Anolis sagrei: one gene and its partner. Each later gene encodes a partner of the first gene's protein in a complex. Links are inferred from orthologs where the notes say so. Each region holds a gene or a part of one and is shown in the gene's direction. Other genes may lie near its edges.

Region 1 (15,765 bases):
GTGTTGAATGTTTACATGCTAAAACATTGCATTTTGACTATGAACTAATGCAGGTTGTCCATTTTAACAAAAAATAAGGTCTAAATTTTGTTGTGAGGCCCATCTATAGTACATCCATCGCATCCGTTGCTAAATCACTGGGTAGACTTATTTCTCTAAGTTTCACTGAATCATTGGGCTATTTTATTTGGGGTTAACAAATAAGATTCAAGCCTAAGAAACTGTGGACATATGAAAGAGCCAAACCAAAGTCCTCTCTAATCCAAATTTCTTGATGTTCTACTGCAAGCTTTGTATGCTTTTTACGCTTTCGAGTTGTTTCCAATTTTTGGCAACCTGAGGGGCCACCATACTCTAGTGGTTTGAGTGTTATGTGCTACAACTCTGGAGTCAGTTATGTGTTCATTTTATTGTAAACCTGGTTTTTTTGCGTCTTTTGAAGGGTTACGTGACCATAACGCTTCAGTGCTCAGTAGAAATGCACTCAATTGGCTATGCTTGGCGAGCTCTGAAAGAGCAATTGGGTGAGGATATTGACAACAAAGTGTTCAGAATGCGCTTTCTCAAGGGGAAAACGGTAAGAAAACCTGCAGTTTAGTATATGTTACTAGATGAGTATTCTGTGGCATTTGCTTTTTCTATTTGTCTAATCTGGCGTGCAAAGAGAAAATTTTGAATTGATAACCAAAATGGTATTATGGAAAGCTTTTAATAACTTTGAGTTGTGTTGTCCTAGGATAGCTTGCAAAACTTTTATTAGGAAAACTTGGGTTTGAATCACTGCTTGAGGCAGTGATACAGTCTTCCCAGTTTTCCATCTTATAATAAAAAAGGTTATGGTGCTTTGGATTATTGAGAAAGTTTAGAGACAACAGTACCTATTTTATTTATATTATTAAAAAAAGAAGGGAAGGACAAAAAAACAAATCTAGCACACCTTTAAGACCGATTATAGTTTAGCATGAGCTGTTCCTTTAGTCTTCCTTTGAATCAAATACCTGAAATAAGAATGTAAGAAAACAAGCATTTTCTGTAGCTTGACTGCTATAATGTCTTAAACATGATGTCACTTATTTTTCCAGAGTGTTTCAGGTTACTTTGTCTGGAGACAAATTTTGAATCTTATTTCTCTTGTGTTTAGGGTGTGTGTTTTGATATTCCTGTAGCTGAACTACCTAAACTACAGGTGAGATATTGCTAATGTGGGGTTTTGCTTTTTTTTAAACTAAAGTTCTAAAAAATATACATTTCTTTTTCAAATGAACTAGCCGTCCTCTGCCACGCGTTGCTGAGGCCCACATAGGGGTTCTATGTGGGAGGTTTGGCCCAATTCTATCATTTGGGGGTTCAGAACACTCCATGATTGTAGGTGAACTATAAATCCCAGCAACTACAACTCCCAAATGTCAAGATTCTATTTTCCCCAAACTCCACCAGTGTTCACATTTGGGCATATTGAGTATTCGTGTAGAGTTTGGTCCAGATCCATCATTGTTTGAGTCCACAATGATCTCTGGATGTAAATGAACTACAACTCCAAAACCAAAGGACACTGGCCACCAAACCCTTCCAGTATTTTTTGTTGGTCATGGGAGTTCTGTGTGCCAAGTTTGGTTCAATTCCATCGTTGGAGGGGTTCAGAATGTTCTTGAATTGTAGGTGAACTATAAATCCCAGCAGCTACAACTCCCAAATGACAAAATCAATTTTTTTTTAGTGAAAGACATAACATTGGGATGTTAGGTGTCTTGTGTCCAAATTTGGTGTCAATTCGTCAAGTGGTTTTTGAGTTCTGTTAATCCCACAAACGAACATTACATTTTTATTTATATAGATAAATTGTAATTATGTTGAAGAGGTGGTATTTGCATCAGTATTGAAACACAGGAATCACAATTATGGCGTGAACCTGAATTAATCCAGAAAACCAGTCCTTTTAAGATTCTCAGAATAGGTAGCGTTAGTACTTCTAGGGTACTACTCACTTTTAGTGTACCTTCCTTTAAATATACATGTTTGCGGTGTAGAAAAAGATAAGCTAAATCCTGGCCAGTTCCTATTGTGGTTTGTGGGGCTATTTGCCTCTTATTCTTAGGTATGTTTGCAACTCCTACCCTCTCAAGACAGCCCATAAAGAGTTGTTGGTATGGCCATTTTGAATAACTTACATAAAATATAAAATATTTGCCTATACACCAAAGGATAGGAATCATGTAGTACTCCAGGCACCAGCATGCCATAAAAGGTCTCTTTTCCCCATCCAATCTAACCTCATTTCCTTATGGGTCACAGAACAGGGTGACTAATATAATGCAGTTCAATGCAGCTAAACTTCATTTTGAAGCTGCATTATGTGGCAGTATAGATGGGGCCTTGGATGACACGTGCTTTTTGTTTTAATCAGCAAACCTGGCAGGATTCAAGGCGCTGGCAACTCTCTGTGGCAACAGAATTACCTGAGCTTGAAGAATCGCTCAAGGAGCCTGGCCGAGGCGGCGGCGGCAAACCTGACTTCAGGAACAGAAGAGGGGGCGGAGGGGGCTCTAATTTCAGAAATGGAAGACGCGGTGGTGACTCGAACAGGCGTGACAGATTCAGAAACAGGGGCCAAAAACGAAACTTTTGACCGGGCTTTTTTGATCATTTGCAACTGTCAAATATAAAGGATGTTTTAACAACAGTAAAAATTGATTTACACTTTCCTTATGTGTTTTCTTTTTTATTAGTTTGGTTTTGTCTGGTTGCAAAACTCATGTTGACAAATATTAGGATTGGCGTTTCATTGCTGCTGTGTCTTCAAGTCATTTCTGACCTAGCAAGATTTGTTTAGATGAGACAGATAATATGACTTGCATAGTGCATTTCCTGGGCAAGGAGGAATTTGAACCCTGTTATCCAGTCATAATCCGGTGCTCAAGCCATTACACCACACCAGGTCACTAGCATAATAAACCAAGACCGAACCTAGTGCTGCTACAGTTACCACATTTGCTACAAGCTCTTATAGTAATACATTTAGAACAGGGGTCCTCAAACTAAGGCCCGAGGGCCGGATGTGGCCCTCCAAGGTCATTTACCTGGCCCTCACTCAGGGTCAGCCTAAGTCTGAAATGACTTGAAAGCACACAACAACAACAATCCGATCTCATTTGCCAAAAGCAGACTCACACCTCCCACTGAAATGCCAGAAGGTCATGGGGGACCTTGTTGAAAGCCTTACTGAAATCCAGATATGCTACATTCATGGCATTCCCTGCACCTACCCAGTTTGTAACTCTGTTGGAGGTGATTTTTGAGCTGAGGTATTTAATCTGGTGAGTTTGCCGAGGTCTTACATTTATATTGATGGAGAAGTTGTGGGAGGGGTTGCAGACCACATGATCCGCTCTGGAACCAGCAGTGTACAGACTTTTTCGGGACCACACAGATTGCAGACTTGCAAACATTTGCCTGCTGTTTATTATAAGAGATGTTCTTCTGGAAGGGACTGCCTGATGAAGACCAAAGAAGGCACGGAGTTGGCTTTGCTATGTACTGTTTTTGAGATGTTGAGCCAAAGTCCAAGATTTGCAATTTCCTTTTGCACACTTGCACCACCACTATGTACAAAAATAATTGTTGGCCCTCTGTATCTTCTTCCATCCTCTTCTAGCAATTGGTTTATCTATAAGTGTGACGATGTGTAAGTTTTATTTCTTTGGTTATGTGTAGTTTGCATAGTGGTTTAGGGATGGTAAGTATGGGAGATTATGTTTTGTTGGAGATGGTGGCTTGGCGTTAGCTAAGTTGCCGTAGCAACAGGGGCGGAGCCAACTGCCTCTTCAGGAGGCAGCTGTTTTAAAAAGTCAGTCAGTGGCCGGAGAGCTACTGAGAGGACTGAGTCTCTAGGTGGAGATTCAGGAAAAGTGTCTGTAACCGGTGTGCTATAGGAAAGACTGAATCTCAGGGTGGGGATTCAGGGAATCAATTGGTGACCAAAGTGGTTGCAGAGAAGGACCCGGTAGTGAGAGAGCTACAGGGGGTTGTTGATTCTGAATTAAGAATCAAGGTTTGGCTAGGTTTAAGCCTGCTGTGCCTGCTGTGAAACGTTTTGAAGTCTGTGCCTGAGATTACTTATGAAACCTTTCCAATGTAACCATCAAGATTTGTGCCTCTCTTGAAGAAACAGTTAAACATGTTATACTCCTGTTAAAATAAACTTGTTACTGTTCTCCTCAAGCCTTGCCTCATACAATTTCTCCTAAGTTGAACAGCCTGCAATAGTAAAGTCAAGCCAGGAAAGTAAACGCTACGCTATCAAATAAATAAAGCCTTCTGTAATTAACAGTCCCTTTATAAAATAGCTCCTAGGTTGATATTGAGCGTTGCCTGGCTTCCCTCATAGATTAGGTGGCAGTGGGTGTTTTACCACTCGCACCTTCACATTTGGTGGCATTCGGTGGCATTAAAACGGTCTCCTTTACAATAAGCTTGTTGCTTATAGATATTGTATGTATGCTCTGATATGCAACTTTCTTTCCTTGCTCTATGTTTCTCCTGAGAAGTTGTGGGAGGGGCTGCAGACCACATGATCCGCTCTGGAACCAGCAGAGTACAGACTTTTTAGACTTTGGGACCACACAGATTGCAGACATGCAAACACCTGCCTACTGTTTGTTGGAAGAGAGATGTTCTTCTGGAAGAGCCTGACTGATTAAGACTAAAGAATGCACGGAGTTGGCTTTGCTATCAGAAATGACCTGGTGAAACATCTGACCGAAGCACCCACTGGCATCAATGAACGACTCTCAACCCTCCGAACTGAATTTGCCAAAAACCAACAGGCAACCATCATAAGTGCCTATGCACTAACACTAGATGCTGATTAAAACATCAAGGAAAAATTTTACTGTCAGCTGAACACCGTCCTATCAGAGATACCTAAGGAGGACAAAATCATCCTCCTGAGGAATTTTAATGCAAAAGTCGGGCAAGACTTCGACCTGTGGCCAGGGATCATAGAAAAAGACGGGGTTGGAAACAGCAACTCGAATGGCATTGTGTGGAACACAACCTTGTCATCACCAACATGCTCTTCCACCAGAAAAACAAGTTCAAGACATCATGGAAGCACCCCCGGTCAAAGCATTGGCACCTCTTAGACTACGTAATCACACGGGCCAGAAACGGCTGTGACATGCTTCTCATAAGAGCCATGACAGGTGCTGACGACTGCTGGACAGACCACAGGCTAATCCAATCCACGATGGCTATCAAGATGGCCCCCAAGCGCAGACTCCAAGGAAGAAAGACACGGTGCTAAATGAACACCCAAGTCCTTCAGAAGCCCTCCAAACGAGCTCATCTCCAAACAGCACTCAAGAACCATCTACCCACAGAACACCCTGAAAATGTTGAGGAACGTTGGAACAAACTGAAGACCTCCATCATCACAGCCTGCGAAGAAACTACTGGATATCAAACCAGGAAACATCAAGATTGGTTTGACGAAAATGACGAGATCCAACAGCTAACTTGACAAGAAAAGGAAAGCCTTCCAAACATGGCAGAGAGATATCAACTGTGCTACTAAGAAAAAGATCTACGTTAGTGCAAAAGCTGAGGTCCAAAGGACAAGAGAACTCAATAACATCTGGTGGAGAAAGAAGGCTGAAGGAATCCAACACCTGGCAGATACCCATAATGCCAAAAAGAAAAATGGGTTACCCTGAAACTATGGAGACCAAAACCCACTGATTGTGGTAATATGAAAATAACTAAATTAACTCAATGTATATATTACAAATACACATATTAAAAAAAACTGCCACATTCACATTAAGTAGAAACAACTGGTTATGAAAGACGCCCAGCGGCCACATCATGAGAAGAAGGAAGAAGGGAAAGCTTAGAGAAAACAATAGAATTATAGAATCCTAGAGTTGGAAAAAAACCTCATGGGTCATCCAGTCCAACCCCCTGCCAAGAAGCAGGAATATTGCATTCAAAGCACCTCTGACAGATGGCCATCCAGCCTCTGTTTAAAAACCTCCAAAGAAGGAGCCTCCACCACACTCCAGGGCAGAGAGTTCCACTGATGAACAGCTCTCCCAGTCAGGAAGTTCTTCCTCGTGTTCAGGTGGAATCTCCTTTCTTGTAGTTTGAAGCCATTGTTCTGCGTCCTAGTTTCCAGGGAAGCAGAAAACAAGCTTGCTCCCTCCTCCCTGTGGCTTCCTCTCACATATTTATACATGGCTATCATGTCTCCTCTCAGCCTTCTCTTCTTCAGGCTAAACATGCCCAGCTCCTTAAGCTGCTCCTCACAGGGCTTGTTCTCCAGACAATGATGCTGGGGAATATGGAAGGAAAAAGGAAGAGGGGTCGACCAAAGGCAAGATGGATGGATGGGATCCTTGAATAGACTGACTTGACCTTGAAGGAGCTGGGGGTGGTGATGGCCCCACATTCCAGCTTGATATTATCAAGCTGGAATGTGTCCAGAGGAGGGCAACTAGAATGATCAAGGGTCTGGAGAACTGGATAACGAACCCTATGAGGAGCGGCTTAAGGAGCTGGATGGCCATCTGTCAGGGGTGATTTGAATGCAATGTTCCTGCTTCTTGTCAGGGGGTTGGACTGGATGGCCCATGAGGTCTCTTCCAACTCTTTGATTCTAACAGGGAGCTCTGGCTTGGGCTGGTCCATGAGGGCAAGATGGATGGATGGCATCCTTGAACTGACTGGCTTGACCTTGAAGGAGCTGGGGGTGGTGACGGCTGACAGGGAGCACTGGCTTGGGCAAGATGGATGGGATCCTTGAATTGACTTGCTTGACCTTGAAGGCGCTGGGGGTGGTGACAGTCGACAGGGAGCTCTGGCTTGGGCTGGTCCATGAGGGCAAGATGGATGGATGGCATCCTTGAACTGACTGGCTTGACCTTGAAGGAGCTGGGGGTGGTGACGGCTGACAGGGAGCTCTGGCTTGGGCTGGTCCATGAGGGCAAGATGGATGGATGGGATCCTTGAACTGACTAGCTTGGCTTTAAAGGAGCTGGGGGTGGTGACGGCCGACAGGGAGCTCTGGCTTGGGCTGGTCCATGAGGGCAAGATGGATGGATGGGATCCTTGAACTGACTAGCTTGGCTTTAAAGGAGCTGGGGGTGGTGACGGCCGACAGGGAGGCTGGTCCATGAGGTTATGAAGAGTCGGAAACGACTAAACGACTGAACAACAACTGAGAAGCGTGGAAGGCGGCTGTAACGGAGGGAAGGGAGCCAAGAGGACGTTCTCTGGCGCGCTCCCTGACTGCGCATGCGCGCCAGTCGACGGTCGGGTTAGAAACCCTGGAGACGCGCTGAGGGAGAGGCGGACAAAATGGCGGCGCCGGCCGAGTGGGCTTCGCTGTGCGAGAAGTTCCGCAACGCCCTCAACCTCTCCTACGTGGAGTCCAAGAAGGACCCGGAGACCGAGCCGTACCGCTCCAAGTACAGCGCCCGGGAGCTGCTCGAAGGCATCAAGCAGTCGCTGGGCTCGGAGGAGGTTGGCGAGGCCGAGGGCGGCCCTGCGGAGGAGGGCGCCGAGGAAGAGCGCATGCGCGCCGCGCGGCTGGCGGCGGTGGAGTACGAGCTGGGAATGAACCACACAGACACGCAGGAACGCTCGGCCGGAGAGGAGCACCTGGCCAAGTGCCTCCAGCTGCTGGAGCGGCACCGCCTCTCGCGAGACTGCGTCTCCCTCTACATCCAGGCCCAGGTGGGACGGGCGGGGGAGGGAGGGAAGAGCGCGGTGGCGTCACTAAGGGCGCGCGTGGTGACGTCACAGAACAACAGAGGGCTGCATTACAGAGGAGGGGGGAGCATACCCAAAAGAGCTTAAAGCACAGAAATGTATTCTATTTTTATATTTAAACAATCTCTGTAGCTGGATTGAGCCACCATCACTTTTTTCATAAGCACACTTTATATGTGCTAAGATTGAATACCCCTTATCTAAAAGGTTTGTGACCAAAATAATAATCTTCAATATAAATAAAAATGTAATGTTAGTTCGTGCTACCAACAGAACTCAGAAATCACTGGGGGAATTGACACCAAATTTGGACACAAGACACCTAACAACCCAATGTATGTCCGGATTCGTAGTTACTGGGATTTATGTTGTTCATTCATTCAGTCGTCTCCGACTCTTCGTGACCTCATGGACCAGCCCATGCCAGAGCTCTCTGTCGGCCGTCACCACCCCCAGCTCCTTCAAGGTCAGTCCAGTCACTTCAAGGATGCCATCCATCCATCTTGCCCTTGGTCGGCCCCTCTTCCTTTTGCCTTCCACTTTCCCCAGCATAATTGTCTTCTCTAGGCTTTGCTGTCTCCTCATGATGTGGCCAAAGTACTTCAACTTTGTCTCTAGTATCCTTCCCTCCAATGAGCAGTCGGGCTTTATTTCCTGGAGGATGGACTGGTTGGATCTTCTCGCAGTCCAAGGCACTCTCAGAACTTTCCTCCAACACCACAGTTTAAAAGAATCTATCTTCTAGGTTCTAGTAGGTTTTTTCGGGCTATAGGGCCATGTTCTAGAGGCATTTCTCCTGACGTTTCGCCTGCATCTATGGCAAGCATCCTCAGAGGTAGTGAGGTCTGTTGGAAATAGGAAAATGGGTTTATATATCTGTGGAATGACTGGGGTGGGGCAAAGAGCTCTCTGCTGAAGCTAGGTGTGAATGTTTCAGCTGACCACCTTCATTAGCATTTGAAGGCCTGGCTGAGCCTGGGAAAATGTTCTGTTAAGAGGTGTTAAGATGTACCTAGTTGTTTCCTCTCTGCTGTTTTGCTGTAGTAATTTTAGAGTTTTTTAATACTGGTAGCCAGATTTTGTTCATTTTCATGGTCTTCTCCTTTCTTTGTACACAGAGAAGCCATTGAAATCCACAAGCATATGGACAATTTCAACAGAAAGGAGGAGACCCTGAAAATGAACAAAATCTGGCTACCAGTATTAAAAATCTCTAAAATTACAAGTGTAGCTTTCATTTTCCACCCCTTGTAGGATTTCATTTTCTTTGTATGATGTCTTTTAAAATAACAATTTAATCTTTCCTTATTTTGCAGAATAATCTGGGTATCCTCTGGTCAGAAAGAGAGGACATTAAGACAGCACAGCCATATTTGGAATCTGCAGAGGCTTTGTATAACCAGTACATGAAAGAGGTAATATGTTGAAATAATTTGCTTTGAGTCTCTTTGGGGAGATAGAGTGGAATATAAATAAAGCTTTATTATTATTTGTGTTTCTGCAGTGTGTCAATTCTTGGATGTGAGAGTAATTGAATTTCTAAGTTCTGGTGTTGATAGGCTGTGGTCATAACATAAGAAGCAAGTTGTCTGGGTGCATGATTGTTGAATTTTGCAACCTAGATAATATGTTGTGAAACTGAGAGCCAGTATCTTTCACTTAGGAGCCATTATTTTAGAAATTTATAATCGTATCTAGTAAATCTATCTAGCACTGTAATTTCATTTTTATGTTACGTTTCAAAATTGCTACAATTTAAGCAAAGGTGTTAAGCCGAAGCTTGTGTCCAAAGTTATCAGAATTTCTATTTAATTTTACTTATATAATAGTAAAGGTAAAGGCTTTCCCCTGACATTAAGTTCAGTCATGTCCGACTCTGGGGGGTGGTGCTCATCTCCATTTCTAAGCCGAAGAGTCAGCGTTGTCTGTAGACACCTCCAAGGTCATGTGGCCGGCATGACTGCATGGAGCGCCCTTACCTTCCCGCCGGAGCGGTACCTATTAATCTACTCACATTTCCATATTTTCATACTGCTAGGTTGGCAGAAGCTAGGGCTGACAGCAAAAGCTCACGCCGCTCCCCGGAAGAGTATAAATACTCCCAAGTAAATAAGGCTGCATTGCTCCGCTGCTCTTGTACAATTGTTATGCTGTTGGTGCAGAATCAGGGTTACTGCTCTGCTTATGCTAAGATAGATAGCTCTGTTTATAGATTAGTCCACTGACCATATCAACAATAACAGACAAAACCAAAAATACACAGACCAATAGACACTAATCACTATGCTGAAACATGAAAGGCACTGCAGACTACTTCAACCAGAGAAGTCAGCCATAGCAGAGCACCTGATGAACCAACCTGGACACAGCATTTTATTTGAGAACACAGAAATGCTGGACCACTCTCACAACCACCATGTCAGACTACACAGAGAAGCCATTGAAATACACAGGCATGTGGACAATTTCAACAGAAAGGAGGAAACCATGAAAATGAACAAAATCTGGCTACCAGTATTAAAAAACTCTAAAATTGCAACAGCACAACAACAGAGAGGAAGCAGGCAGGGACATCTAATTACCTCTCAACAAAAGATTGCTCCAGGCACTGCCAGGCAATCAAATGCTAATCAAGGTGGTCAGTTGAAACATTCACACCTAGCTCCAGCAGAAAAGAGTCCTTTGTCTCACCCTGGTCATTCCACAGATATATAAACCCTTTTTCCTACTTCCAACAGACCTCACTACCTCTGAGGATGCTTGCCATAGATGCAGGCGAAACGTCAGGAGAGAATGCCTCTAGACCATGGCCATATAGCTCGAAAAAACCTACAACAACCCAGTGATTCCGGCCATGAAAGCCTTCGACACATAATGCTACACAGAACAAAGTGGGTTTAGTTATCTTAAAACCTCTCTCTACATTTCAGTAAGATGCACAATAGACTAAACTCTTGATGCATAGCAAGCAGCATTCTGAGTTGTTGACTCTGCTGTGCCATCGCATTTGCACAATGGGCCCTTTGTTAGACCTTCCGAGGCACTATTTATACAGTGCGCAGCCTCAGGAGCCATTTCCAGCCCTCTTGACACGACTCCTAGAAAAAACAGTGGAAGGCTGTACAAATCCTGAAGTGTGATCCAAAAAATAATTGTTTATTGGTCTTGATTCTAGTTCCCTGAATTTGTTTTTAGTTACTCTGACTATGATAGTGCTATGGAGAGAGGGCTCTCGTCTCTCAGATCTGTGTGGTTGTTTCTGATTTTTCCCATTTACATCTCACTTTGTTGCAAGGTGCTCGTTGGTCCATTTCTATAAGCGTTTCTCTGCCATTTCCATATTGTCAGAATTCATACTTTTGCAGTGTGTTCAATAAGATGGTACCTTATTTTCCTACTTGACAGATGCAATTGTTTTTCGGGTTGCAAAGGTCAACAGCAGGCTACACACAATTGGTTGGAAACCCACTCCAACCCGGGCTGGCTTCGAACTCATGACCTTTTGGTCAGAGTGATCTTAATGCAGCTGACACTCAGCCAGCTGCGCCACAATCCCAATGCCCTTAAATTTAATTTTTAAAAATCCCATTCTGATCGAGATCCGTCTGCATTGTAGTAGTATGACCGACCTTGTTCATCTACATGTTTTATCCACTCATGATCTGCTTGGTTCAAAGTGTCTCCTTACTTATGCTTGGATCCCGAGTCAAGCGTGGTGGTTTCCAGGTTCTTTCCTGTGTTCCTTTGTTGTAATAATAACAACATCCTATTGAATCTTTATGTGTCTCCCATTCTCCATTAATTTGGATTGCAAGAGTTATAGGTATAGGTGTGTTAGACAGACTGACTTTGGACTTTTATATGTATAGACAGATGTGTCTAACTCTCTATTCTGATGAATTTGGTATAGTATATAGTAATTTCAACAACTGATGTGTGGATTTTGAGGTCATGGAGATAGGAGAAGACCCTTCTGTGTATACATATGTAAAGTCTCTAAGGCTTGGAAGATCTAGATCCAGCTGAGGATCTGAATGTGTCTACAGAATCTCATGGGAAGAGGTGCTTGAGTTGTTTGAGCTGGATTCAGTGGGGGGACTCATTACTTCAGGTTTTAATTTAAAGCTCTTTTAATTTGGGGGTGGGGAGGTTGCTTACTGTAGTGGATTTGTTCATCAGTAATTTAAAAAACAATTGGTTACTGTTTTCTTTTATTGATGTCCATGGAGTATCAAGACTTACAATCAAGTTACTATTTATTACATTTTTACAGGAACTTGTGTTCTTTAATTATTCAGAACGGATGACTTGTTCTTCATGCTAATCTATATCAATAAAAATGTAATGTTCGTTTGTGGGATTAACATAACTAAAAAAACCACTGGGCGAATTGATACCAAATTTGGACACAATACACGTATTTGGCCAACCAGTGACTATCACTCATAAAAATACTGAAAAACACAGCAGAAGAGACTTAAAAATTAAAAAGATATATACATTACAACGCATGCACAAAACCACACACATATATATACATATACACAAATATATCTTCTTCTTAGGGAATCCCTCGTAGTCCAAGGATGATGGTCCTCCAAGTGTAGTGCCCTGGCGGAGGGTTTGTAGGTGACTGTGGAGCCCTGTTCTTTATCTGCATCTTCTCCCACAGTGAGGGCATCGGTTACCAGGTGGAAGGCGGTCCCAGTCGGGGTTGGCTTGACGCGCCTTCCTCTTGGCACGTTTCTCTCTTTCGCCCTCCATTCATGCCTTTTCAAATTCTACAGCACTGCTGGTCACAGCTGACCTCCAACTGGAGCACTCAAGGGCCAGGGCTTCCCAGTTCTCAGTGTCTATGCCAGAGTTTTTAAGGTTGGCTTTGAGGCCATCTTTAAATCTCTTTTCCTGTCCTCCAACATTCTGTTTTCCATTCTTGAGTTCAGGATAGAGCAACTGCTTTGGGAGACATCCGGTGGTCAAGCATCCGGACAACAGCACAAATATATACACATACACATATACACACACAAAGCACATATAAACAGACTGGGCCTCAGCAACGCATGGCAGGGGACGGTTAGTCATAAATATACCTGCATGGGTTGATTCTCCTACTTTTATCTTTTGTATCTTGTTATAACAACTCTTGTTTGAGAATAGTGAATGCTTAATGATGTCAAAAGTATTTGTATTATTGAAGGCTTTCATGGCCGGAATCACTGAGTTGTAGGTTTTTTCGGACTATATGGCCATTGTCTAGAGCAGGGATCCTCAAACTAAGGCCCGGGGCCCGGATACGGCCCTCCAAGGTCATTTCCCCGGCCCCCGCTCAGGGTCAACCTAAGTCTGAAACGACTTGAAAGCACACACAACAACAACAACAACAACAACAACAATCCTATCTCATCAGCCAAAAGCAGGTCCACACTTCCCATTGAAATACTAAGTTTATATTTGTTAAAATTGTTCTTCATTTTAATTATTGTATTGTTTTAAGTGTTTTGCACTACAAATAAGATGTGTGCATAGGAATTAATTCATTTTTTCCCCAAATTATAATCTGACCCTCCAACAGTTTGAGGGACTGTGACCTGGCCCTTGGTTTAAAAAGTTTGTGGATCCCTGGTCTAGAGTTATTCTCTCCTGACATTTCGCCTGCATCTATGTCAAGCACCCTCAGAGGTAGTGAGGTCTGTTAGAACTAGGAGAAAGGGTTTATATATCTGTGGCCATAGATGCAGGCGAAATGGCAGGAGAGAATGCCTCTAGACCATGGCCATATAGCCCGAAAAAACCTACAACAACTCAAAAGTCTTTGTTGCTATACTCTTACTTTTATTGAAACATTTAAAAAATCACTCTCAAAGTAATGGATTGCACTTCTGCTATTTCAATAACGATTTTGTGTATGGAGAGTAAAAGCTTGTAGAAGTACAGTTAGGTTTGCATAATCATTGTTTGGCCATATGCAGACTCTGTTTTAATAAGTCAACAGAGTTAATTGCCTCAGATGTCCTTGGCACTTGTTTTGTGGAATACAAATACTTTTGGGAGCTATTAGGCCCGTCGCAAACTCTGTTCCTGCGGGAGAAAACCTTGCTAGCATGTCCCTGACGTCACGAGACTCCGCCTCTCCCCGCCCCTTTCTCCGCCCCTTTCTCTTTGCCAGCGTGGTTTTTCCTTTGCTAGGGCAGCATTGCCAGCATACTCTCTCAGTTGGCAGAATTCAACTGAGCGACGGCTCTTAAGGTGCTTCATTGGAAGAAAAGGAGGCGAATCCACAGCTCTCTGGCAATGTTGGGCTACATATTTAATCATCCCGAAACACTTGTCATCTTGGCTGGGGCTCATGGAGGATGAAGCCAGCTTTTTTGAATGAGCGCAACTTTCCTATTAGTGCTTTTTATTTTTCTATCGGAGCGGAACTAACATGCAACTAGTAGAGCGGAAATTTCCTGTATAGATTATCTTAACTGTATGTTGTGTTTTGCAGAATGGAAACCCTCCGCTTGATTCCAGTGAACATTTTATGACTGAAGAAGAGAAGCTTTCTGATCAAGAAAGATCAAAAAGGTCTGTGTTCACTGAAGCCGAAGTTGGAATTTGGGTGGTTGGGTGGTCATCTCTTTTAAAATTAAACCTGAAAACCCTGTTTCCTCAGATTTGAAAAAGTCTATACTCATACGCTGTATTATTTGGCTCAAGTCTACCAACATCTGGAAATGATTGAGAAGGCTGCACAGTACTGCCATTCTACCCTCAAACGGCAGCTTGAGTATAGTGGCTACTACCCAGTAGAATGGGCTTTCAATGCAGCTACTTTGTCTCAATATTATCTCACAAAGGTAATTATTTAAATGTTCTTCCATCCATCTAATTTACTTTTATAATGTGTCATGTGATTTGTATTGTCAAGGAATGGGTTGCATCTACAGTCATGTTAGGAAGCTATAGCACTTTTATCTCTTTAGGAACCACTGTGCCTATTATCCTACAGTGTTGTGTGAGCTGATTGGCCTTGATGGGAATGGGGGTCAGTAACATATAGAGTGTCACAGCATTGATCAAATCTCAGCCCTGTTGAGATCAGCGAAGTCAAAGGCCAACTAAAGTATTTTGGCTCCAGATCTTGTTTTCGATGGACAGAATGTTCATATAAATAATGCTTTTGGTCTTCTGGACCATTTCTCGTTGACAGGAATGAATAGGAATTTGGTTTTGCCTATTTCTGCCCATCCCTGCAGCTCCATCCCAGAGATTTGCTCCAGAGGATTAGGAAGTCATCTGAACAACATGAAAGGTGGTGTTGGAGGGGGAACGAATAGGCAAATATCACCCTGGGAGTAGTCCTTCTGCCGGAAACAGGCAATAGGTCCATTGCCTGTTTTAAAGGGCTTTAATAATAATAATAATAATAATAATAATAATAATAATAATAATGGGTTGTTGTAGGTTTTTTCGGGCTATATGGCCATGGTCAAGAGGCATTCTCTCCTGACGTTTCGCCTGCATCTATGGCAAGCATCCTCAGAGGTAGTGAGGTCTGTTGGAAGTAGGAAAAAGGGTTTATATATCTGTGGAGCCTTCGACAATAATAATAATAATATTTATTTATACCCCGCCACCATCTCCCCAGTGGGGACTCAGAGCGCCTTACATGGGGCCAAGCCCGGATAACATATTACAGCAATAAAATCAAAGTACAAACAACAACAACATCATCAAAATTACATTAAAAAAACGCAGTCATAAAACAACATTCTAATAAACACAATCACGATAACGATAACAATGGGCGGGCCGCATATACAGGATAAAACAATTAAAGACTGTAATGAGATAAAATAGGAGCAGGACAGTTACGGGGAACTTATAAAACACATAGAGTTGTGACGCTAAACTTCTCATTTGGGGGGTGCGAGCTCTAGTAACAAAAACGTTGAGGGGTGCAAAAGGTCATTGTGTGCACCTACTCACCAAAGATGCAGCGGAAGAGCC
Region 2 (16,342 bases), on another chromosome or scaffold:
CAACTATTTAAAAGGAAGCCATACCAACACATACAGAGCACCAAGCATCATACATAGATGAAAATTATCCAAATGCCTTACAGTGATAATACAAACAACCATATTTGGGTCAACACCACGTTAGTTAGAAAAATGAAGCTTCAATATCAGAAACGCGCTTTCAAACTTCAACTTGCATTGTAGAAATCATTCGCCGTCTATCCTACCCAACAGATTTATTGTGAGGATGAATGGGATAAAGCTTGTAATGCAAAATGCTATGAGAATACAATTTCCTAGAAAAATGGATAAACTAAAAGCATTCAACATTGATTGTTGGTATTTGCCTTCAAATCAACTTCAATTGAGATTTTTTTCCTCTCACTGCTTGATACTTGTTGTGTTTGTCCAATCTTCTCTTTAGCCTTTTGGCTGTTCACTCTGGGCCTCACCAGGCAAGGAAATTGCCTGGCGAGGAAATTGCTTGTTCACTCTGGGCCTCTCCAGGCAAGGAAATTGACATCCTACCTTTCGGTAGAAGCATTGGCAACGGTAATCCACGCAACAGTCACCACTAGGTTGGACTATTGCAATGCCTTATATGTTGGCCTTCCAAAGTCAACGACCCAGAAGATTCGGATGGTCCAAAATGCGGCAGCCAGGCTGCTAGCGGGATCATCTATAAGATCCCATATTACACCGATTCTGCAACAACTGCATTGGCTACCAATACAACATCGGATCTCTTACAAGATACTGATCCTGACATTTAGAGCTCAAAATGGCCAAGGACCTTTATATCTTAGGGACCGCCTCATTCCTTTTCCCCATCAGTGGTCACCTCGATCCACCCAGGAAAATCTCCTATACATACCGGGTCCTAGGGAGGCACATTTGGAAGCTACAAGGCGTAGAGCTTTTTCGATCTATGCTCCAATTCTATGGAACTCATTGCCTCCATATATTAGAGCAATGTTGGAGTTGCGACCTTTTGTAAAGGCGCTCAAGACTTGGCTGTTTGGTTGTGCATTTAAGTAATCGGATCAAATTTTGCCATAGTCACTGCTGAATGTTTTTATGTTGAACGTTTTTATGTTGAATGTTTTTATATTGAATGTTTTATATTGTGTATAAGCTATTTTGAATTGTAAGTCGCTCGGAGAACTTTGGTAGAGAGCGACTAATTAAGAAATAAAGTGATGATGATGATGATGATATACTACTGTTCCCAAGGATATTGTCACCCGTCCCCACACAACCTAGTTTAAAGTCCACCTGATCAGGATCACTAGTCTCTGAGGAAAAATATCCCTTCCTACTTCTGTGAAGAACAACCCATCCCATGCCAGCAGCTCATCTTCCTGGAAAAGCAGACCATGGACCAGGAAGCCGAATTGTTCTTCCTGACACCATCTGTGGAGTCAGTTATTCGCCTCTACTATTTTTCTCTCTCTTCCTGGGCTGCATCGTACAACAAAGAAATGAAAAGACCACCTGTACAATAAGGTCTTTCGGCTTTCTTCTGAGAGCTTCAAAATAGTTTTTGATCTTTTGGAGACTATGCCTTGCAATATTGCTGGTTCCTACATGAACCAACATGAAGGGGAGAGGGGGAGGAAATCAGTGGGTTTGATTAGTCTTGTCAGCTGCTGAGTCACGTGGTGGATTTTTGCCCCAGGGAGGCAGCATATTTCTCTAGATATCCTGTCAGGTTTGCAAATCACCAATTCTGTTCGCCTATGACCAACCCCCGTCTTCTTTCAGGATTGACAGGGTCCCTTTCCTGTAAGGTGCTCTGCAGATCTCCCTGAAACCTAACCCTGGATTGCGTAACTCTAAACTGGCCCCCTTCTCAGAGGCATACCACTGCAATAATTAATTAATTAATTAACCGCATTTGTATACCGCCTTTCTCAACTGGAGGCAACTCAAGGTGGTTCAATTAAGGATAATCAAGTCAGATATTTACAAGAACCCCTCATTCTCCCTAGTGTGTTCTTTTTCTGCCTCATCTACAATTGGGGGAAGAGCCTCTGCACCATTCTTTAACTGCAAATTCCACGTTTGCGAACTGTCCTCATCCCGAGACATACTCCATGCATTGATTAATGAACATGACTCATTTACAAGATTGCAGCCATACTGTCCCATATTTTTCTCATGAAGAAAATATTTAATCTATTTGATAATGTACTTTATCTTACTAGAAAAATATGGAACAATGTATTGCTGTAATCCTGTAAATCAGTGGTTTTCAACCTGGGGTCCTCAGATGTTTTTGGCCTTCAATTGCCAGAAATCTTAACAGCTGGTAAACTGGCTGGGATTTCTGGGAGTTGTAGGCCAAAAACTTCTGGGTACCTCAGGTTGAGAACCACTGCTGTAAATGATTTATGTTCAAAGCCAAGTATGTGATAAGTAGCACCCAGAAATCAAGAAAGCACCCCCTTCCTTCACAGAGCTCTGAGAGCTTTCACCTGGCATACCATTAGACAAAAACTTCAAGAAGCCCCTTCTCCTTCCTTGACAGCACTGAGGCAATTTTGCTATCACCCTCTTTATGATCTGTGTTAGATTAGTAGGCTCCTTTTCAAAACCAGAAGTACTTTAGCAGATATGAGAAATTTAAGGACAAAATCAGGGGTGTTGTATTACGGCTCCTGGGAGAATCCATGCAGTCTATAAACAACTGTCATTGTTTCAACCATATACCATGTCCCTTACATTAGGGTTCTTTTTTGACTAACCATGTATGAATTATAATTATAGCCTTTTCATTTGAAATTGTTTTCTTTGCAAGTTCATTAACTCAGCACATCACAAATAAGGAGAACTCCCTGCTCCCTGCTCCATGAGCTCAAAAGCAGCTCGAGCATTTGGATGTGCCCACTGTTGATTCCCCTGAATTTATCAGGAATTTATCATTTTTCAGCCCAAATTGAACAATTTATATACCCTGTGTAGCATCTAAGTATCAATGTCTAAACTTGTTTTCTATCTTAGCTATGCATTCTCTAGTATCAGGAGGAAGGGAAGGAAGCTCACTGAATTATCCATTTTAGTAACTTTTGTCCTCAATATTGTTCATTATGCTATTTGACACCTATATGGAAATGTCTTCAACAACCCAAAGTTTCTGCTTCTTATTTGTTTTTTCTATTTGTATTCTGGCATGCACAGCAGAAACTGAAAGGTATCATTAGATACAGTAAATAATGGACTTAAATTTAGTGTTAGAAAAAATAGCTCATAATATCCCAACCAAAACTGCCTCTACTCAAAAAAAGGCGGAGGAAAGTATGAAAAATAATTAAGAGAGAAATATACAACTTTTAAAAAATCAATAACAGAAATGCCAGATAAAGTAAGACTTTTAAACAATGCCAAAAGAGATGCTTTCAGATGAATAGGTCCTGCCACTCCAAGGAAGAACGAACCAGCTGCATGAGGCTATGGTTTACCACAATATAAATATATAAATTTATATGAATGTATGACTGGAACAGCCACAACTAAGCTGTGGAGACCATGGTTTAGTGTTTGTGGAAAGAATGACCAAATAATACTTGAAGAGATCTTGCGAGGAAATGGATGGACCATCCACGTTATTGATTCACACACCAATAATCTCCTTCCAAACTGACTGCAGCAGTCTTTGCAAAACAGACATATCTCAATTAACAAAGACCAGACATGGGCAAACTTTGGCCCTCTGGGTATTTTGGACTTCAACTCCCACAATTCCTAACAGGTTGTTAGGAATTGTGAAAGTCCAAAGCAGTCGAGGAGCGAAGTTTGCCCTTGCCTGAGAAAGACCCTTAACAAAAAAACCTTCCTTTTAAAAAGGCTTTTTTCACATGCTTAGACTCTTGTCCAATCTCGTACTCTCTAGCTGAACATATTTTAGCTGAATTTCGGAGATCGAGTTGGAGAAACACAGACTACCACTGTCATGTTGCAGTAGTGTTTACAGTAAACAATGACATACAGTTTGATCTGGGATAGTGTATGATTCTAATATGTAAATCCTATTTTAGCTCTGTGTGCCTACTAACAATAGCAGCAGCATCACAAATCCTTTACTAAGAAAGTAAACAATAAAACAATCAGGAAAAGAGACAGTCACACCTTACCAACTAATCTGGTATGCTAAAAAAGCATAAATGTATAAGCTTGGTCACCAAAATGGAGATCAGAAGAACATAGCCAATTGCCTCTGGATAAATTTTGGAAGAGGCTTTCAGACTCTTGTAGGTTTCAAATGGTTTTGTTTACTTCTAATAGCCTTTCATATGTGCATGTTGTTAGTTTTGGATAAAACGTTTGCTGAAACATGTTAAAATTAACTTATTTTGTGGAGTAGGATTGTAATCCTCTTTCTTTATATGTTACTTCTGCCACCTGTAGCACATTTTTTGTTAAAAGCAATGCCCAGGAACACATTCATTTTGTTAACTAAGATAAAAACGTGAAATCCTGGATGACCCCACAGTCAGGATTTCACTTTTTTTAGGAAGGCCAGGAGAGATGGAGCAGATCTAATTTCAATGTATTGTCGAAGGCTTTCATGGCCAGAATCACTGGGTTGCTGTAGGTTTTTTCAGGCTATATGGCCATGTTCTAGAGGCACTCTCTCCTGACATTTCACCTGCATCTATGGCAAGCATCCTCAGAGGTAGTGAGGTCACTATCTCGGAGGATGCTTGCCATAGATGCAGGTGAAACGTCAGGAGAGAATGCCTCATTTGAGAGGGAATTCCATAGCTGAGAGGCCACCACAAAGAAGGTCATGTCTCTCAAATCTGGAGTTTATATCTTAATGAGGGCAAGAACTCTCCAAGAATTCAAACGCTTCCCTCTAAATTGCAATAATGGCAGCCATGGCAGTTAACATGGGATAATACTGCTATAGAAATATATTACACTGTGCTTTTAATGTACAATGTTTTAATTGGTCTGTTTCCTTGGGAGGAGCCTCTAATGGCCTCACTAAACTACAAACCCCAGAATTCTCAGGAGGTAGAAACCAGATTTTAAGTGGATTTTTTTCTTTAGCGTGATGAAGTAGTACGCTTATTTAGCTTAAACCTTGACTTCGGTTGTTTACAAGTTATATTGATTTATTTAATTTTATGTTTTGCTTTGATTGTTATTTAATTTTTTGGCATTGAATGCTTGCCATTTTTGTCATTTCAGTAAACCACCCTGAGTTCCTTCAGGGAGCGAGGGCAGGTTATAAATAAAGTTTTTTTATTATTATAGCAAGAGAAAACTCTTCATTTTGGTTTCATGGCCATTTTGGTACTATTGTTTGGTTCTTCTTCGGTATGCCACTCTTCCTAGCAGCTCTTTAGCAAAGGCTGTGTTTACACTGCAGAAACAGTGCAGTTTGACACCACTTTGATGCCACAGCATCCTGGGAGCTGTGGTTTTACAAGGTCTTTAGCCTTCTCTGTCAAAGAGTATTGGACTGGAACTTGGGAGGTCACCAATGCACAGCTCCCTAGGTTTCATAGCACTGCACCTTCTCTGCCAAAGAGTGCCTCACCAAACTACAAGCCCTAGGCAGGTAAAGGTGCATCGATTCCACAATGCGGCTGTATCCTCTGGCGTAGTGAAGACGCGCAAGGCAGGAGTCTCTGGGAGGCGAAACCTGAGGAGCCCCTCCATTTCCGTGGCAACCAGGGCGCCCCGTGAGTGGGAGCCGCAGAGCAGCCTGCGTGTGGCGTGTTCAGGCAACGTGGCGTCTCCAGGGTCTATGGGCCGGCCAGCCTGCCTCTCCCTCCCTCCCTCCTCCTTCCTTCCTTCCTTCCTTCCTTCCTTCCTTCCTTCCTTCCTTCCTTCCTTCCTTCCTCGGATCTCCCTCTCCCTCTCGCTTTCCCTCCCGCCCGCCAGTCCGTCAGTCCCGGCGCTTGGAGACTGAAGAGATACTCACAACCCGCGCTGCGAGGCCGGTGCGCCACGCCGCAGGTTCCCCCGTTGCGTCACTAGAGTGCTGCCAATAAGAGTCCTCCGCGCAACAAGGCACCGCTGCCTTGAGTTCCGCTAAGCCACCTCTTCCTCATCTTCCACAGACTACTGAGGAGGGAAGCGGACTTTTCACTCCGGCGCTAACATCTTTCCAGTCAGGCCCATGGTAGCCGTTTGGTTGGTCCCAGGGGGGAGAACTCGACCAAAAATCCCGAGGCGGGACACGTCTTCAGTTGGACGACGTCTTTTTTTTTTCCTCCAGAAGGCTGAAAGTTGGCTTTGCAAGCTTCTGTGGGACTCAGCAAACCTCATCCTTGGCTCATTGTTTCATTTGAAATAATCAAAACAAGGACCACACTGGACTGCATAGAATAGATTTATTTTATTTATCATATCAGAAGCAAACCAGGGGTACAGTTGTACTGTATTTTTAAAAAGACAGTTTTAAAACTTGACATTATACTAAATGTCCTTTGACCGGTAGCTGGCCTCTGGTGTTCCTATAAGGAGGTCCTCCACTGTGCAGGGCTCAGATTGCATTGTAATAGGTGGAAACAATCAGGGACATCTAATGACCTCTCAACAAAAGATGGCCCCATGCACTGCCAAGGCATCAAATGCTAATCAAGGTGGTCAGTTGAAACATTCACACCTAGCTCCAGCAGACAAGAGTTCTTTGTCCCAACCCTGGTCATTCCACTGATATATAAACCTTTTTTCCTAGTTCAACAGACATCACTACCTCTGAGGATGCTTGCCATAGATGCAGGCGAAACGTCAGGAGATAATGCCTCTAGAACATGGCCATATAGCCCGAAAAAACCTACAATAATCCAGGTGGTCTGTGGTTTGCTCTTCACACTCGCATGTGGTGGACTCCACTTTGGCTCTGCATCTTGTGGTGCCAGAGCGCAGTCTGTTCGCCGCCTTCCAAATCACCCAGCCTTCTGTGTGCCCAGGGGAGTCTCTTATTTGGTATTAGCTATAGCTTCAGGTTCCAGGTCATAGAATAGATGATATTGTAAGACTTATGACACCTACCCCTGATTTACATGCTGTCCCTTCCTCTTAAAAGCCAGTGCCCCCCTTTTTTCCATCCTTCCCCCTTGGAGTAGACACCCCTTCTTTTTCTCACGTTTCCTTCCCCCCTTTTGAGTAATAATAATAGCTTTATTTCTTGCCCGCCTCTTACACTCGAGCCGGGTTACTAAAACATAAACACATATTACTAATGATTACTAATTCTAATCAAGGTGACCAATTGCAACATTCACATTTGCCCCCAGCAGACAAGAGTTCTTTCTCCCATCCTGGACATCCCACAGATATATAAACTTCACTTGGCTAGTTTCCAGCAACCTCAGGATGCCTGCCATACATGTGGGCAAAAAGTCAGGAGAGAATTTTTTGTTTCTGAGCTATAAATGTCATTTCCTAATTGGATGTATCATTTTAAAAAACATGGGGAAAAGTTAATTACAATAGTTGTCACTATAGATTATTGGGCATTGTTCTGAGTTCTGAACTGACTTATATGCTATATGTTTTACTTTATTATATTGTACTGTGTGTTTATTTTATGCTCTGTTTTTGGCACTTTGTGCCATATGTAAGCTGCCCCGAGTCCCTTTGGGATGATGGAGGCAGGCTACAAGAATAAAGTTAAACTGCAAAAAAAAAAAACCTTTTGTTGTTGCAGGTAAGTGTGAACGTTTCAATTGGCCACCTTGATTAGCATTTAATGGCCTAGCAGTTTTCAAGCTGTGGCTTGTTACTGCCTTTGTTGAGAGCTGATTCGCTGTCCCTGATTGTATCATGTCTGAAGCTCCTCTGTCTTTATTTAGGTCCTGATTTTAGAGTTTTTTAAATACTGGTAGCCACATTTTGTTCATTTTCATGGTTTCTTTTTTTCTGTTGAAATTGTCCACATGCTTGTGGATTTCAGTGGCTTCTCTGTGTAGTCTGACATGGTACTTGAGTAGTCCAGCATTTCTGTGTTCTCTAATAATATGCTGTGTCCAGGTTGGTTCATCAGGTGCCCTTTATTTTTGCGGGACCTCCTGCAGTACATTTTGCTAGTTTTTCCAATTAGTCTCAACCAACAATAATACAATAATAACTTTATTTTTGTACCTCACCTCCATCTCCCCAAAGGCACTCAGAGCGGTTTACATGGGGACAAGCCCAAAATTCAACATGGTTAAAATAACAACACAAGTCATAAAAACATTTCAAACAATATAAAACCACCACAAAATGCATTATATAGCGAACATCTGGCAACCTTCAATGGTCTGAATAGTGCACAGTACTGAATTCGGGCGGATAACTGGTGCCGATCATTTGACAAAAGATAGGGTTGATCGCAACCGTACTGATTGATATCTGGCTGAAGGAGAAAATGTGCCTGGCTTGACTCTGAAGGAGCTGGAGGTGGTGACGGCCGACAGGGAGCTCTGGCGTGGGCTGGTCCATGAGGTCACGAAGAGTCGGAAACGACTAAATGAATAAACAAGGGTTGCTGAATAAAGTGCTAAAGGAAAGGACATAACGGGATTTCGACCTAAGGGGTAGTATAAAGGGAGCATTATATCTCTAACCAGGGCAATGGTAATGTGTGACATCTATTTAGGATCAAATTGAGAGCCAGAACTATTTGGGGGGACTAGCTAGTCGAAGGCACAATAGAACATCCACGTCTTTAGTTCTTTCCGGAAGGTGGACCAATTGAACATTAAGTTTCTGGATTATAATAATAGCACAGAATCTTCCTGGCCAGAATCAGAATGGCTTGCATTGCTGGCTGCACTCTACTTAAAGCTGATGTTTTGGTTTTGGGGGGGGGGGGTTGTTGGAGGAGGGAAGAGCTGCGGTGTGAAGCTGCGAGGCCGGGAGGGATCTGCGGTTGAAATGAAGTTTAAACCCCAGCCGCCCACGCCGCGCAGAGAAGCAGGCACCCCACGTGACGCGTGACGTCAGTGGCTGGAGGAGGCGGAGGAGAGGCAGCAGTCGCTGGGTCTGCAGGGCTTCAAGACTGGAGCAGGCATGGGCAAATCTCATATGCAGATCCAAACTGCATTCTGTGACAGGGTAGATGGGGCCACAGACTAACAATCCTTTTTTAAAAACTAAACCCGAAAATGTATAAACATTAGAATAGAATTAAATATTAGGGTATAAAGACAATTGCAATAACTAACAATCTATTAAGGATCTCAATCTAGAGAATGAATCCGCAGAATCCTGGGGTTTGTAGTTTAGGGAGGAGACTTAACAGCCTCCTCACTAAACTACAAACTCTAGATTTCTGCAGGAGGCAGAAACCGGATTTAAAGTGGATTCATTCCCTAGTGTGATGAATTAGTAAATACATCAACACAAATCAGCACCCTCTTGAAAGTGCTATTCGTTAAAATATGGCACAATAATGGCAAAGTGAAGGTGTGTGTATGTGTTGTGTCCCCATTCAATTGTTTGTAATGTTTCCAAGCCGTGGATACAGAATCCGTGGATAGGGGATGGCCGGCTGTAATGTTTAGTAATTGAATGGGAGACAAACCAGGCTGCACTCCTGTCCCGGCCCAGCTCTAGAATGCGCTTATGAAATCCAGCCTCCCTTTTTCTCTCCGCCATGAGCAGAAGCTCCCCCACACACCTCCTCCTCCTCCTCCCTCTCTCATCTACGTAGCAAAGAAACCTCTTCCTTCCTTCATTCATTCATTCCTTGCCAATACTACCCAACTTCCTATTACCATCATAAAGAGAGAGAGAGAAAGAGGAGCCGCCCACCTTTCCCTCTGCTTGGGCTAAGGAGGGACGGGTCCCCGTTTGGGACAAAAGAGGCGAGCTCCTCCTCGCCCGCCCCGCAGTAACGCAGGTGACGTCACGCGGTCGGGAGCCAACCAGGAGGCAGAGAGCTCCAAACCGCTTGGGTTTAAATTTGGTGGCTGCCGGAAGGCCAGAGAACTCCAGTGGTGCCGACGCCTTAAAGACGCGGCGCGGGTTGGGAGTAAACAAAGGCTCTCTTCGGGGTCCCGGTGAGTTAAAGAGGTTAAAGATGTACCAATTAGGACGGGTGAGGAGGAGCTCGGGTGCAATGAACTTTTGAAGCCATTGAACTAGGCCAGGAGGGAGAGAGAGGAGATAGGTAGAGCATAGGCATGGGCAAACTTGGGGCTTCCCTCCAGGTGTTTTGGACTTCAACTCCCACAATTCCTAACAGCCTCAGGCACCTTTCTTTTTCCCCTGGGCCGCTTAAGCTTGAGGCTGTTAGGAATTGTGGGAGTCGAAGTCCAAAACACCTGGAGGGAAGCCCCAAGTTTGCCCATGCCTATGCTCTACCTATCTCTCTCTCTCACACACACACACATATGTATTCTGGCATTTCAGTAATTAACAACTCATTTATTTATTTATTTTGTTTTTAATTTACAATACAATCACATCATATACAGTATATATATATATATATATATATATATAGGAAATAAATTTCCATTACTTGCGGAAAATCAAATCTTATAAATCCAATACATGAAGCCGCTGCAGGAGATCATCTGGAGTTTCGGGGTACGGTGTCATCTGTACGCAGATGATGTCCAACTCTGTCACTCCTTTCCACCTGCTACTAAGGAGGCTGTCCAGGTCCTGAACCGGTGCTTGGCCGCTGTGACGGTCTGGATGAGGGTGAACAAATTGAAACTGAATCCAGACAAGACAGAGGTACTCCTGATCAGTCACAAGGCCGAACAGGGCATAGTGTTACAGCCGCACTCCCCCTGAAGATGCAGGTTCGCAGCTTGGGTGTGACCCTGGACTCATCGCTGAGCCTGGAACCCCAGGTTTCGGCGGTGACCAGGGGAGCATTTGCACAGTTAAAGCTTGTGCACCAGCTTCGCCCGTACCTTGGGAAGTCTGACTTGGCCACGGTAGTCCACGCTCTGGTTACATCCCGTTTAGACTACTGCAACGCTCTCTACGTGGGGTTGCCTTTGAAGACGGCTCGGAAGCTTCAACTAGTCCAACGCTCGGCAGCCATGATACTAACAGGAGCGGAGCACAGGGAGCATACAACTCCCTTGCTGCACCAGCTCCACTGGCTGCCGATTTGCTACCGGGCTCAATTCAAAGTGCTGGCGTTGGCCTATAAAGCCCTAAACGGTTCTGGCCCAAGCTACCTATCCGAACGTATCTCTGCCTATGAACCCACCAGGACTCTAAGATCTTCTGGGGAGGCCCTGCTCTCGATCCCGCCTGCATCACAAGCACGCTGGCGGGGACGAGGGACAGGGCCTTCTCTGTGGTGGCCCCTCGGCTGTGGAATGCCCTTCCCAGGGACATTAGATCAGCCCCTTCGTTAATGGTGTTTCGAAGAAAACTAAAAACCTGGCTGTTTGAACAGGCGTTCAGATAAATAGTGCAATGAACGATGAATATAGGAAACGGAATTTATGGATGACGAATTGGATCACGATTTTAGTTATGAGATGCTAATGTGTTGTATTGATGTGTCATTATTTTGTATATTGTGCTGTTAATGGTTTTAAATATTGTATGTTGTTTCATTGACTGCGTTGAGTCGCCTGCAGGTTGAGAAACTGCGGTATACAAGCAAAGTAAATAAATAAATAAATACTACATTGTGTACAGAATATATAGGATCCCTTCATGACTTTGTATCTCCGTGTGTACATGTCTATAACATTTCAGAGGCTGTATTTTGAGCACTTTCTCTATACATAGATATGTTGCAGGAGCTGTAATTTGAACTTTTTATCTATCATCTACATTGCCAGTTTTCTGGAGGTTAAAATGCCTTAATTTTCTTTGGAAAGACCTCTAGACTAAAGATCATTAATAATAATAATAATATAATGATATAATAATAATAAAAGGGACTTGGGGCAGCTTACAACATAAATAACACAATAAGTGCAATATAAGAAAATACATAATAATAATAATAATAATTCCTAAAGACCTTGGCCTGCACTTAAACACAATCGGCGCTGACAAAATTACCAGCTGCAGAAGGCCACCTTACCTGGATCTGCACACATTTTTCGCCAATACATCACACAGTCCTAGACACTTGGGAAGTGTTCGACGTGTGATCCAATTCAACAGCCAGCGGAGTGTCTGCTGTGGACTCATCTTGTTGTGTTTCTAATAATAATAATAATAATAATTTTATTTTTTATACCCCGCCTCCATCTCCCCGAAGGGACTCGGGTCGACTTACATGGCGCCAAGCCCTATCAACAGAGTTAAAATATAGCACATTAGAATGCATAAAATCAATTTAAAATAACACAAAGCAGCAATTATAACAAAATATAAAACAATCATCAGAACCAACAACAGCATAATTTAGGTCTCAATATGGGTGGAATAAAGTGGAATAAACAATTAATAACACATAAAAATATAACACACAAAGTACAGCACAATCAAATAACAAAATTATGAACAGTTAGATTAAAAACACTGTCTTTCATATGAATGATGTAATGTATAAAAAGAGAAGGTAAAGTCACCTTTATGAACCTGTTTGGAGACTCAGGTTCATATCCAACTTTCTAGGTAACTATGGGCTAGCAGCCACTATCACACCAATTTGCAAGTTTGTCGAAGGGATAAAAAGTGAGGGAAAGGGCCACATACTTTACTGTAATCTTAGCGTGGTCAATTATAATCAACACATACATATATGTATGTGTGTATACATTGATATGCTTTCAAGTTATCTATGATGATCCTATTAATTTTATGTGATTTCCTTGGGCAAGGAATATTCAGAAATAATTTGATAGTTCCTTCCTCTGAAATAGGAAGCCTACAGCACTTGCTATTTGTTGAAAGTCTCCCATTCAGTTACTAACCAGAGTTGACCATGCTTAGTTTCCAAGATCAGGCAGGATGTGGCACCTTTGGGGTATATGGTGAAGTGGGCTATAGCCAGTGGAGATTTATACTGAAATAACCAGGTTAGTTCTGAAAGTATCACAAGGCTCTCTTTCTTCATTTCAAATCACCTTTAAGGTTGCAGTTGTATGAACACGTGGGAATAATTCCAACTGAGCTCAGAAAAGCATTGTTCTTTGGATCAAGCTGTCTTACTTACCAGGCAATAAAATGAAATCCCAACAATGTTTATGTGGGAGTTGATCCTACTGCATTCAGCGAAGATAGATCGACGTCTGTTAGTGTTTTGTTAACCTTTGTACTTCATATTGTTTTAGCTGATGTGCTTTAATCTTACACTGTATGCATCCTTTAGTCCAGTAGTTCCCAAACTTTTTTTTTAACCATGGACCACTCTCCAAATTAGTTTTTGGTCAACTTTAGATTTGGTTTGGTTGTTTGAGGTGCTGATTCAGAAAATTACATTGGATAGACCACATCAGCTCTAGTTTATGATACAGAACATATGTCATCCAGTAGTCGCCATCTGTTTGCCCACAGAAAACCATATTTAATAACCCTCGGCACTATAAGAGGATTTAGCAATACCAGTTGCTCTTGTTTCAACGAGGTATTAACTGTGAGGCCGCGGCCCATATTTTAGTTCTTATGGAGCACAAGTTGGGAACCACTGCTTTAGTCCCATTGGGAAAGATGGAATATAAACCACTACTCTGAAACACTCTATTGAACAGGGGCTTCAGTCTGAGTAAGCATACTGAAACTAAAGTATGTATGGTAGTGCGAACTTGACCCAGCTGAAACAGATTCTAGTGACATCTTAAAACCCAACATATATTATGGTATATGTTTATTCTGCAAAATACATTGCACTACATTTTTTTTAAGATGCTATATAACGAGTGTTTACTGTAATTGAATGAAGAAGCTATCTCTCTACAAGTTAACTCCCAGTTGTCTGTATTTATAAAGATAAGAATTGTCACTTCCTTCTACCAGGGTAACTAACTGTACCAAAGTGGGATTTGAAAGATAGGACAAAAGTCAGGCGTATTCTTCCTCATAACTGCCTTGCCATGCTGTCACTGACTGAACTGTTATAGTGCAGGATGAGTGAAACTCTGGTCACCTTCTGATACAGGCAGGAGCACTGTCTCAAGTGTATTGTGTCACTAAAGTCCTACGTAATGGCTTATGTACCCTCTTTCCTGGAAGTAGTTTTCAGTGAATTGAATGAGACTTTAAATAGATATGATTAGGATTTCACAGCACTGAGTGATAGTCCACAAAATCTTATGCTGAAATAAATTGGTTCAACTTAAAGGTGTCTCAAGATGCCTCCCCCTCTTCCCATTTTTATATAATGTGACATTAACAGGATCTTTTTTCAAAAATTACCTACATTATTAATGAGCAAAACTACAGGTACTTAATGGTGAATCAGTTATGTCCACCTGTAAATATGTTATTTTTGAGAACTCATGTGCCAGCGCAAATGCAGCGTGATGTAAGTGTGCCGGTATTTGTAGAATGCCACAGATATTAAGAATATGTTGGATGCATTAAGAATTACTTTAGATAATTTCATTCGATGTTTTTGTGCTCATACATGCTAGTCACCTGTTGATTTGTGGTGACCACATCAATTCTGGAAGTTCCTCCTTCTGAAATATAGTCTTATCACAGTTGGTATTTGTTACTGGCACTGCTTAGCAATTAAGATCAGAACATATTCAGTACTTTCAGAATATTATATGGCATCTAACAGCCAAAACAAGTTTATATTGCGTAGTGTATTTTTAGTCTAAAGCAACGTTTCTTAACCTGGGGGTCGGGACCCCTGGGGGGGTTGCAAGGGGGCGTCAGAGGGGTTGCCAAAGACCATCAGAAAACACAGTATTTTCTGTTAGTATGGGGGTTCTGTGTGCCAAGTTTGGCCCTATTCTATTGTTGGTGGAGTTCAGAATACTCTTTGATTGTAGGTGAACTATAAATCACAGTAACTACATCTCTCGAAGGTCAAGGTCTATTTTCCCCAAACTCCACTAGTGTTCATATTTGGGCATATTGAGTACTCGTGCCAAGTTTGGTCCAAATCCACCATTGTTTGAGTCCACAGTGATTTCTGAATGTAGGTGAACTACAACTCCAAAACTCAAGGTCAATGCCCAACAAACCCTTCCAGCATTTTCAGTTGGTCATGGGAGTTCTGTGTGCCAAGTTTGGTTCAATTCTATCATTGGTGGAGTTCAGGATGCTCTTTGATTGTAGTTGAACTATAAATCCCAGCAACTACAACTCCCAAATGACAAAATCAACCCCCCCCCCCAAAAAAAATCTCACCAGTATTCAAATTTGGGCGTATCAGGTATTTGTGCCCAATTTGGTCCAGTGAATGAAAATACATCTTGCATATCAGATATTTCCATTACGATTCATAACAATAGCAAAATTACAGTTATGCAATAAAAGTAATTTTATGGTTTGGGGTCACCACAACATGAGGAACTACGTTAAGGTGTCACGGCATTCAGAAGGTTGGGAACCACTGGTCTAAAGTGACGTCTATGTTCCAAACTCTAAAGTGTGTATACCAGTAAAATATAATTTTACCATGGTCAAGAATGGTGCCAAGTATAGGTACGTACAGTAGCTGCTTGTCTTTTATAAACTGCATTCCTATTCCTGTATGTTAATAGACAAATTAGAAATGAAGAGCTTCCCCTCCCGTACAGAAAATCCCTAAAGTCCATATTTGCTTAAATGTTAGTCTCACTGTATTCAATGAGATTTCTTCACATGTAAGGTTGGAATCTGCTACCCAGTTACCCTGCAAAGAAACCTTAATGAATTCTGTGGTAGTGACTGTTAAGTAGACATGTATAGCATTGTAGTGGAAGCACACATAGGAATAGCTAACTACATTTTGAGGCACTTTTGTTATGTCTTGCATTACAATACTGTAATTATAATTTAGCAAATAACATTTGTTCCCCAGTAGTTTAATTAATTCAAAATAAGATGCACAACTGTTTGTGCCATTCTGGGATTCCAAAATAAAAGCTAAGAATGATTCACTGAATATGCTACAGGAATTGAAATGTATGTAAAATTTGTAGCTTCAAAAATATTTATATGGAAATGGCATAGACATTAATAGTTTTACAGGATGTAAGTAATGGACTGTATTTGGCATTAATCTCTCTTCATTGCAATCTCTTAAACCAGGGGTCCTCAAACTTTTTAAACAGAGGGCCAGGTCAAAGTCCCTCAAACCTTTGGAGGGCCGGATTATAATTTGAAAAGAAAACATGAATGAATTCCTATGCACATACGTATCTTATTTGTAGCACTTAAAAACAAAACAATAATTAAAATGAAGAACAATTTTAACCAATATAAACTTATTAGTATTTCAATGGGAAGTGTGGGCCTACTTTGGGATGATGAGATGTTGTTGTCGTGTGCT

Evidence for each region.
Region 2: the proteins of KIFBP (region 1) and kinesin-like protein KIF18A are in contact, whole or in part, in a cryo-EM structure (PDB 7RSI), measured with the Homo sapiens proteins. The link is inferred for Anolis sagrei from reciprocal best matches to the Homo sapiens genes KIFBP and KIF18A. Residues at the interface, in NP_056449.1 of Homo sapiens: Ser150, Glu151, Tyr212, Tyr213, Gln216, His220, Gln238, Ile251, Asn252, Thr255, Gln258, Asn262, Gly414, Tyr415, Val459, Asp460, Leu461, Asn462, Pro463, Gln464, Leu467; in NP_112494.3 of Homo sapiens: Glu181, Thr183, Gln184, Lys185, Gly186, Arg274, Phe275, Val276, Glu277, Gly278, Thr279, Asn280, Ile281, Arg283, Ser284, Leu285, Leu288, Gly289, Val291, Ile292, Arg314, Lys317, Asp318, Gly322, Asn323.

What each region holds. Positions count from the first base shown.
Region 1 is NC_090023.1:170,882,212-170,897,976, forward strand, and holds the start of KIFBP (KIF-binding protein), read left to right. Parts: upstream 1-7,294; 5' UTR 7,295-7,353; coding exon 7,354-7,731; intron 7,732-9,083; coding exon 9,084-9,182; intron 9,183-14,260; coding exon 14,261-14,340; intron 14,341-14,428; coding exon 14,429-14,612; intron 14,613-15,765. Other genes in the region: DDX21 (nucleolar RNA helicase 2), read left to right, coding at 443-577, 1,142-1,186, 2,405-2,626. UniProt on the Homo sapiens protein: Activator of KIF1B plus-end-directed microtubule motor activity. Required for organization of axonal microtubules, and axonal outgrowth and maintenance during peripheral and central nervous system development.
Region 2 is NC_090021.1:260,361,862-260,378,203, forward strand, and holds the start of kinesin-like protein KIF18A, read left to right. Parts: upstream 1-9,814; 5' UTR 9,815-9,986; intron 9,987-16,342.